Linked DNA regions of Daphnia pulex. The protein of the gene in region 2 purifies or fractionates together with the protein of the main gene of each other region. This does not show direct contact. Links are inferred from orthologs where the notes say so. Each region holds a gene or a part of one and is shown on either strand. Other genes may lie near its edges.

Region 1 (3,598 bases), on a different chromosome or scaffold from region 2:
AATGGCTCAAAGCTCAGGAGTTGGGCCACCATGAACCTCGTACGCAATTTAGTGCCAGCCAAATGGAAATGAATCCAATCCGTCGAGCATATCGTTTTCCCCTTGATTTTGTCTTCTCTAAACTTCAATCTAGATTGGTAAGTAATAATAAGTATTAACAGAACTTAAAACTTTTGTTATGGGTAACATTTCCCCGATTTAGTTCGAGCAGATGTAATGTGAACTAAAACACTTTACTTTTAAAAATTAATTAACTGTCCATTTTGTGGTTGTGAGACTACTACATAATTCATAAAATCTGTGTTCTAATTCTTTTTCTTATTCATAGGGCGACAAAACTCAGATTACTCGCTATTGGGTTGGTAAATATCTTCTTGCTGGATGGCTGGTTTTGGGAATTACCTACAATCTGAAGTACAACTCTCATGTAAGTATTTGCCTCTAATAGTGGACAGCACCCAAAATACTACATTTTAACTTTTAGGACTGGACTCGCAAGAAAGGATTTGCAATTTTCGGCTCCAGACCCGCAGTTTACCCAGGAGATCCGAACTTCCCTAAAGTTTCCGATAAAATGAAGCCTTCTGACTACGCCGACTACGGATTCAAAAACTCCCCCATTTAGATTCTATTTCATGTTTCATACGTGGTTGGAAGAAGTAGTGAAAAACACAAATCCTGCTGTACAGAAGAGAGAATAGAAAAAAGGGTCAAATGTATTTGAAATCATTTCTTTTTCTCTTTGATAGCTATGACATATCGTTGCGCCACCATCAAAGGCGGACTGAATCCTTCAGTATAGCTAGAATCTTCAAAAAGAACTTGGTATTCATCTTGAGCTGTTTGGGGTAATTGATTGATTACCGCTTTGTAAAAACAGGTCGTTTGTGGATACAAAGCCATGACTAAAAACAAATGTTTAGTATGTTAATAATATGCTAACGTCGGATCAGCTAAAATTTGCGATTTTTTTGTTTTGTTTTTACCAGTGGCTCCTTTTGAGAACAAAGCATCGGGATCGGTTTCAGGATTAGCTCGCATCAAAGGAAGAGGAATTACTCTGCGTTTGCTTAAAGTGTGTCGCTCTTTCTGTTCCTCGTCAATATCATCCACTTCATAGCGCCCAGAAGAAGCTAAATATTGAACGACTTCTGCCAAAATCCAATTCTCATCGCCGTCTGTACTCTTTACCAAAGCCGCAACAATATCTCCCAGCTGACATACATATAAGGTGTTTCGGTTAGTCAATTAACAGTTTATGACATTCGAATAATGTAATACTTTGGCAACGTAAGTTGGGTCAGCTGGAACTGCTCCACATAATGCTGGTGGCTGTTGTCCTGACTTACTGATCCACAGCGGGAGAGTTTGAGCAGTAACGAGAAGCATTTTCATGAGAGCACCTCTTCTTATAGTTTCCTTACTGCCAGCTTGTTTTGCCTGAACAAGAATGTTAGTACAATGTTAGGTGAAATTTTCTAAGTTTACGTTCTTGGGAATAACCTGAATTCTCCTTTCATGTCTGATAACGCGAATTTCATAGATTTTGCTTAATGCCTTACGAATAAGGTCCTCTTCTTTTTCAGCATCAGCCACCACAGAGCAATACAGTCCTTTTAATTTAGACTGATAATTTTATAGGCATTCATTAGTGCTGATTAATTAGTGATATGGGAATAGAAATACCTTGTGATATGGAGAAATTTTGTCATCTGACTGAAGTTTTTCATGAGCTTTGATAACAGCATTTAAGTTACCTTCATTACGAACTTTCTCTTCTTGAATCTGCTTGACCAACTTGTAGATCCCCTTCAATCGTTCCTGCACCCCAATCCAAATTAGAACTAAGTAAATACCTTAACAACTGATTATATCAACCTTACTTGGACTTGCTGTGTGGCAGAATCTAATGACAAAGCCATGATGTATATGTTTAATAACAACTACCTCTCCTAAATGATGAGCTCAAACCAGCAATGATGACTGGAATCCAAGCAAAAGCCACCAAGAAAACCAAGAACTAAAGAAAATTAAATTCTGAAATTTACATATCTTTTATGCACAGAAAAATAACCTTACTAAATTAATGAAGATGAGTTTAAAAACAGTCATCGGAAATCAGCCTTCCAAACAATAAATTGAAAATCGTAACATCGGCAGTTGCTTTGTCGTCACCATGGCAACTATGGCATCAACTGTATTAGTTCCATTCGTCATTAGCAGATGGCATGAGCATGCTCAAATTGTATAACCATGGCAATAATTTCTAAATCAGGCCTTTTTTTCGAGTGGTTTTATTATATAGCCTTTGATCATTTTCAACTCTCAAATTATTTAGTTATTTTGTAGTCAGTTATTTTAATATTTTGCACATCCCTGTAAAAATGTATCGGCATTGTGTGGTAACTTTTTGGTGATGACTGACGATAACTATTCCACCAAGAAAGCTCACCTGTTAATTTTTCGATAATTTTTTTTATCTACTAAATGTATTTCACGGAGATGACGAATATTTCGTTTATTTTCCGTCCCATTCTAGTCGTCCGTGGATGCTCAGGGCTGTCACTAGGTGGCTAAATATTTCAGCGTGTTTAGGGATTGAACTATTCAGCTCTAGTGTGTTTGTTTCTAGAGGGGTGTAGGGGGATGGGTCATCAAACTGTCAAAGTCCTGAGACGACTGACAGAACAGTCTTTCTTTTGCTGTCGAGACGCTGTCCGAGAAGGTAAAATTTAGTCATTGCTGGTACTTTCTTACGTGACATTGTTGATCATAGACATGGTAATTCCATTTTTTATTCTTTAATTTTATAAAATTTAATTTTGTGTGTGGTTCAAAACGTGTAACATTGTCTTCAATTCATAATTGGTAATCGCATGTGGCCTGCTGTACATTCCCACAATGTCGTCTCTTGCTGAATGTTGCACGTTTCGTTCCATGCAGAACAGTAAAAAGTAATTATTGCTTAACTTTTTAATTCAAGACTTTGTTTCTGAATTAAAATTGTGTGACTTTGTTTCAAAAAGTAATTTAAATTTTTCTATTAACTGTTGAGCAGTAAAGCCTGAGCTTCATTACGTTTTGTTTTGCAAATTGTTTCAATTTCCAGTTGAATTATGCCAAGAGCTTTCACAGACATGCACTTAACTTGTTAGAACACTCGAGTGGGTTAGAATTTGCCTATATTTTAGTCTACTTTAAAAGTGTGTGCTACACATGTGATTTTTGTCAGGAATCAGGTCAGACATTGAATTCTCGATTTAGATGACATTTTACAACAACTATATGTTTCTAATTAAGAGCTTTTGTGAAAAGATTTGCTCAATAGAATTGTATTTTTTAAATATAAAACAGAAATTAACCCTTTCTTGTATTTGAAAATGTAATTGGTTCATTGTTTTCCTTTGAACTTGATTTACAGGATTTCTTGGTTAGTTTGATGTTGGAGCTGCCAATGGTGTTGATGCAGCGTTCATGGTGTGAGCAGTGGTTTTGCAGTCATTTTCCAGTCGAGATGTCTTGAGGGCGCGTTTTCGCAATGGAGCTTGTCAAAATGGAATTTTCGCAAATGGAGCTTGTGCAGACATTCACTTCAACA
Region 2 (3,930 bases):
TCAATAATACCCGATCAACTTTATGACAGTATTTCCCCCTAAACCTTTTGCCAGTAGCCAAGAAGTCTACTGCCCCGCCTCTGTCCCTCGGCTCCCAGACTACAATAAGCAATAATAACTAATAACTAATAAGGCAATTACCAATTTGAAGGATGCATTATATTTTATTGATCAGATTACAACCAGAAAAAAGAAAGTGGTACTATACTAATTTTCTACGTAATTCATCCATTTTTTGTTCAATTTTTGATATCAAATCTTCATCTTCTTTATTATTCTGAAGATTAAACGGTCCGTCGAAATATTCAGGACTAATGCTTTCCAAATGAAGGATTCTATCTTCAAGGGCTTTCAAGCGTCCGTACACATCCAGTGGAATAGGTTGTTCTCTTGAATTAAAACCCAAGTGTTTTTCCATATTTTGTAGCCGTTCTTGGATAGCAGGAGTCGGATTCAATTTGGTGTTTACTGAAGATGGAGCCGGAACTTCAGAGTGTGTTTGTGGTCCCCACATATTTACGCATCTCGACACTAAAACGTAAAGAAATCAGTAATCAGCGTTGAATCCTTAAAATAAAATAATTTTACCCTTTAGATGACTTTTACTATCTTTTCTGCTTACAAGCACTGCCTCTGTGCGAGCACATGAATTCTCTAATTCGTTTAATGGTAGTCTGTGACAGAACTCCTGAACGTTGAATACGTCCGACTCTGATCGTTTCCGTTCCATAAACGCAGTAATTCGTTTTCCCAACTGAAAAATTAAAAACATTTAAAATATTTATTGAGAAAAGACTTGATAAAAGTAAAACGGATCAACAATACCTCTAAATTTGAAGCCTTGATCTGAACGCAATCGGCAGCTGCATAGTCCACCATTATTTTCCTCTTTTTAGATAGACTAGCGTCTTCTTCTTGATCTATATCAATTCAAAACATGCTATTGACTATTAAGCATCTATCACATCAAGCAAATATTCCAACAACTCATTCTCATGGAAATAAAAAATTTCAAATCCCGAATTTCCCCACCTAACAAGATTAGAATATTTTCGTACTTATTTTTTTTAATTTTGACTAATAAAAACTTCTGAACGCTTGTGCTTTCTTTAAGCCATACTTCTATAAGCCAAATAATCAAATGACGTACGCGGCAGTGAAGGGAACAAATGCAGAAGTCACAACTAAATACTAAATAAAGGACGTCTATGTGTGGTTGTCCCTATTCCGTCAGATAATTAGCTTAAAGCTTATAGGCAGCAAAGCTGTCGAACCACACGAAAACGTCTAATAGATTGAAGCAGTGCGTAGAATGCAGCATTGCAGCTACTCATCTTTAGAATCACACAGTATATGTTATTATATAATGAAAGGGCAAAGATTGGAAAGCGTTGGGAACTGGAAAGTACTTGGATAATAAGTAAAATGAATGTTAACATTGCTTAGTTAAAAAATAAAAAGAGAATTAAAAACCCTTAAAAACCTTATATTTTAAATGTCAGACTTGACAGCACTACGTAGATATTATCACTTTAGTAAGATTGAAACTACAGCCAAACTAACGTTCATGCTCCGATTTTTAACTAATGAAAAGTACTGGAAACCATTTCAAATATTGTTCTGATATCGGAAAATCGATTAAGGTTCAATATTTGTGTTACTTGTTAAGAATCAGTACTGTTATGAATTCAAAATTCATACAACAAATAGGAACAACTAAGCATTATTTGTTTAATTTTTACTTGTCCACAGGCATTCTTTGTTGGCTTTCCATTCAGGAGCACCATCACTATAAAGTTCTTTCTTCCAAATTGGTACAGACTTCTTAAGCGCGTCAATCCCAAATTGAACAGCCTCTAAAGATTCGGCTCGATGCTCGGATGAAACAGCTATTACAACACTTGCTTCACCAACCGGAACTTCTCCCAATCTGGAAAGAAAAATAGGTAATTAAAACAAACAAACAAACAAAAAAATGTTTCTTAAGTTTCCTCATTATAACTACAGTATGGTAAAAAAAAAAATTATACCTATGGTGGAATGCAATGTGTTTAACCTTCCATTTTTCTCTAATATTCTCACAAATTTTCTTGATTTCTTTACATGCCATTGGCTTGAAAGCTTCATACTCTAGACTAATCACCTTAAATATAAAGCAAATTTGATTTAGAAATATTTGACTTTAGATTATTCAAATTGACATTACTTTCTTTCCTTCAAAATTATTCCTTGTTGTTCCCACAAATAATGACACAGCTCCAGTAGAATGTTCAACCACTTTAGAGTAGATTGAATTCACATCAAGCTGTTCTTCAACTAAGTTAATAATATCCATTTTAAAATACAATTGAAGGGCTCTGGCGAATTAAGCTGTAGCACACTGCTTATGAAGAATCCTAGCGACCTAGCCACCACTTAATGGTGGGATCACTGCAATTTCCTTGCAATTTTTAATGTCTATAAGCTGATCAAATTCAACATATTCTTCATCAGCAGCTAGGACAATGTTCTTTGATATGGATTCTAGAGCTGGAAATTGTTCTGTAATGATGCACAAAAGATTTGCCCCAGTGATTCTTGAAGTTGTTCTGGAAAGTGAAATATTGTCAAAATCTTTTCCAACTAACTCTCTGGCCTTTGCAAAGAACAGAATCCGAATAACTACTTCATCCATTGATCAAGGTCAAGACTACAGCATCCCTGACTATAATTTTAACCAGATTTGTTGACATGTAACAATCAATAAAAAAATATATGTTAATTAGTTGTCACCGCAAAAGTAAATTTAACTTTGAGTAGTAATCTTGATTAGCAATACGCTCTTCTTATGCGTTGACTATGTGTCTGTAAAACTGTGACAGAGGCTCGGCAATCAGAAAAGCGTCTGGTCACTGGTCGTCTGCTGGCACTGGCAAGTGGGAAGTGGCAATGACATAAAGAGACTAAAGCGTATTTTTTAAAAATTCAAAAATTGTAATATGCGCGGAGTTTTTCTTGCGCGCAAAATATATACATTAATTTTATGCCCCCTTATCTGCAAGAAGCCAACAACGATGCAAATATTCTATGCAACTTTATGTGTATTGTGTATAGATGTTATACCCTTGAAAAAGTAGTGGTCTAGCAAAAAATCGTGCGCAGTTTACGCCGATGCGCACCACAGCGGCAGATAGCAGAACTAAACTTTTTATTACGCTTGACTACCTGTCTACTTCAAGAAACGAGACGAGAACCGACTGCTTGTCGAACAAAGGACTTGAAGTAGACAGGTAGTCAAGCGTAAAAAAAAGTTTAGTTCTGCTATCTGCCGCTGTGGTGCGCATCGGCGTAAACTGCGCACGATTTTTTTCTAGACTACTACTTTTTCAAGGGTATAACATCTATATCGTATCAGAGCGATCGTATTCGTTCACCGATTCTTTCATAATCAACAATTTCATAATATTCAAATTTCAAACTATGTGCATACCGGCATACTATTGTCAGGGGTATGGAGAGATTTATGGAGATATCTTTCTCTCCATACCCCTGCTATTGTTATTTAAAAATCCGACAAGTTTTTCTATCAGACACCAAATAAAATGACAGGCGCATTCTTATGCTACTGGAGTCACTCCTCTATGCGACTGTTAAGTGTTTACTTTCTCACCATCACTCCTTGTGTCACTACTAACACGGGAATTTTCGTGATTTTAATAATTAACAGTAACTATGAGGCGGGTGCGGTAGTTGAATAAGGAAAAATCTAAATATATAGTTCCTAGACTACAAACAATCCAAAAGTTTATTTGTTTCGAATTACTCAATTTCAAATTTCATTCGACATTTGAAAAACTCGGTAAACGTTATTGACAATGTTTTCAAATCACAGTGGTTTTTCCTAGTCAATGTCAAATAACACATAGCATTTCCGCATAACACAAACATTAT

The links.
Region 1: the proteins of molybdopterin synthase catalytic subunit-like (region 2) and SAGA-associated factor 29-like purify together in Drosophila melanogaster (affinity purification with mass spectrometry; 5 studies listed by BioGRID, with this or other methods). This does not show direct contact. The link is inferred for Daphnia pulex from reciprocal best matches to the Drosophila melanogaster genes Mocs2B and Sgf29.

What each region holds. Positions count from the first base shown.
Region 1 is NC_060019.1:9,072,424-9,076,021, reverse strand, and holds SAGA-associated factor 29-like, read right to left. Parts: upstream 2,200-3,598; 5' UTR 2,080-2,199; intron 2,021-2,079; 5' UTR 1,923-2,020; coding exon 1,884-1,922; intron 1,822-1,883; coding exon 1,687-1,821; intron 1,627-1,686; coding exon 1,504-1,626; intron 1,441-1,503; coding exon 1,282-1,440; intron 1,216-1,281; coding exon 987-1,215; intron 906-986; coding exon 727-905; 3' UTR 699-726; downstream 1-698. Other genes in the region: uncharacterized protein LOC124191408, read left to right, coding at 1-137, 329-427, 485-625. UniProt on the Drosophila melanogaster protein: Component of both the SAGA and CHAT histone acetyltransferase complexes, which both predominantly acetylate histone H3.
Region 2 is NC_060026.1:10,881,301-10,885,230, forward strand, and holds molybdopterin synthase catalytic subunit-like, read right to left. Parts: upstream 3,062-3,930; 5' UTR 2,336-3,061; coding exon 2,207-2,335; intron 2,144-2,206; coding exon 2,031-2,143; intron 1,931-2,030; coding exon 1,743-1,930; intron 921-1,742; coding exon 826-920; intron 755-825; coding exon 589-754; intron 532-588; coding exon 203-531; 3' UTR 138-202; downstream 1-137. UniProt on the Drosophila melanogaster protein: Catalytic subunit of the molybdopterin synthase complex, a complex that catalyzes the conversion of precursor Z into molybdopterin.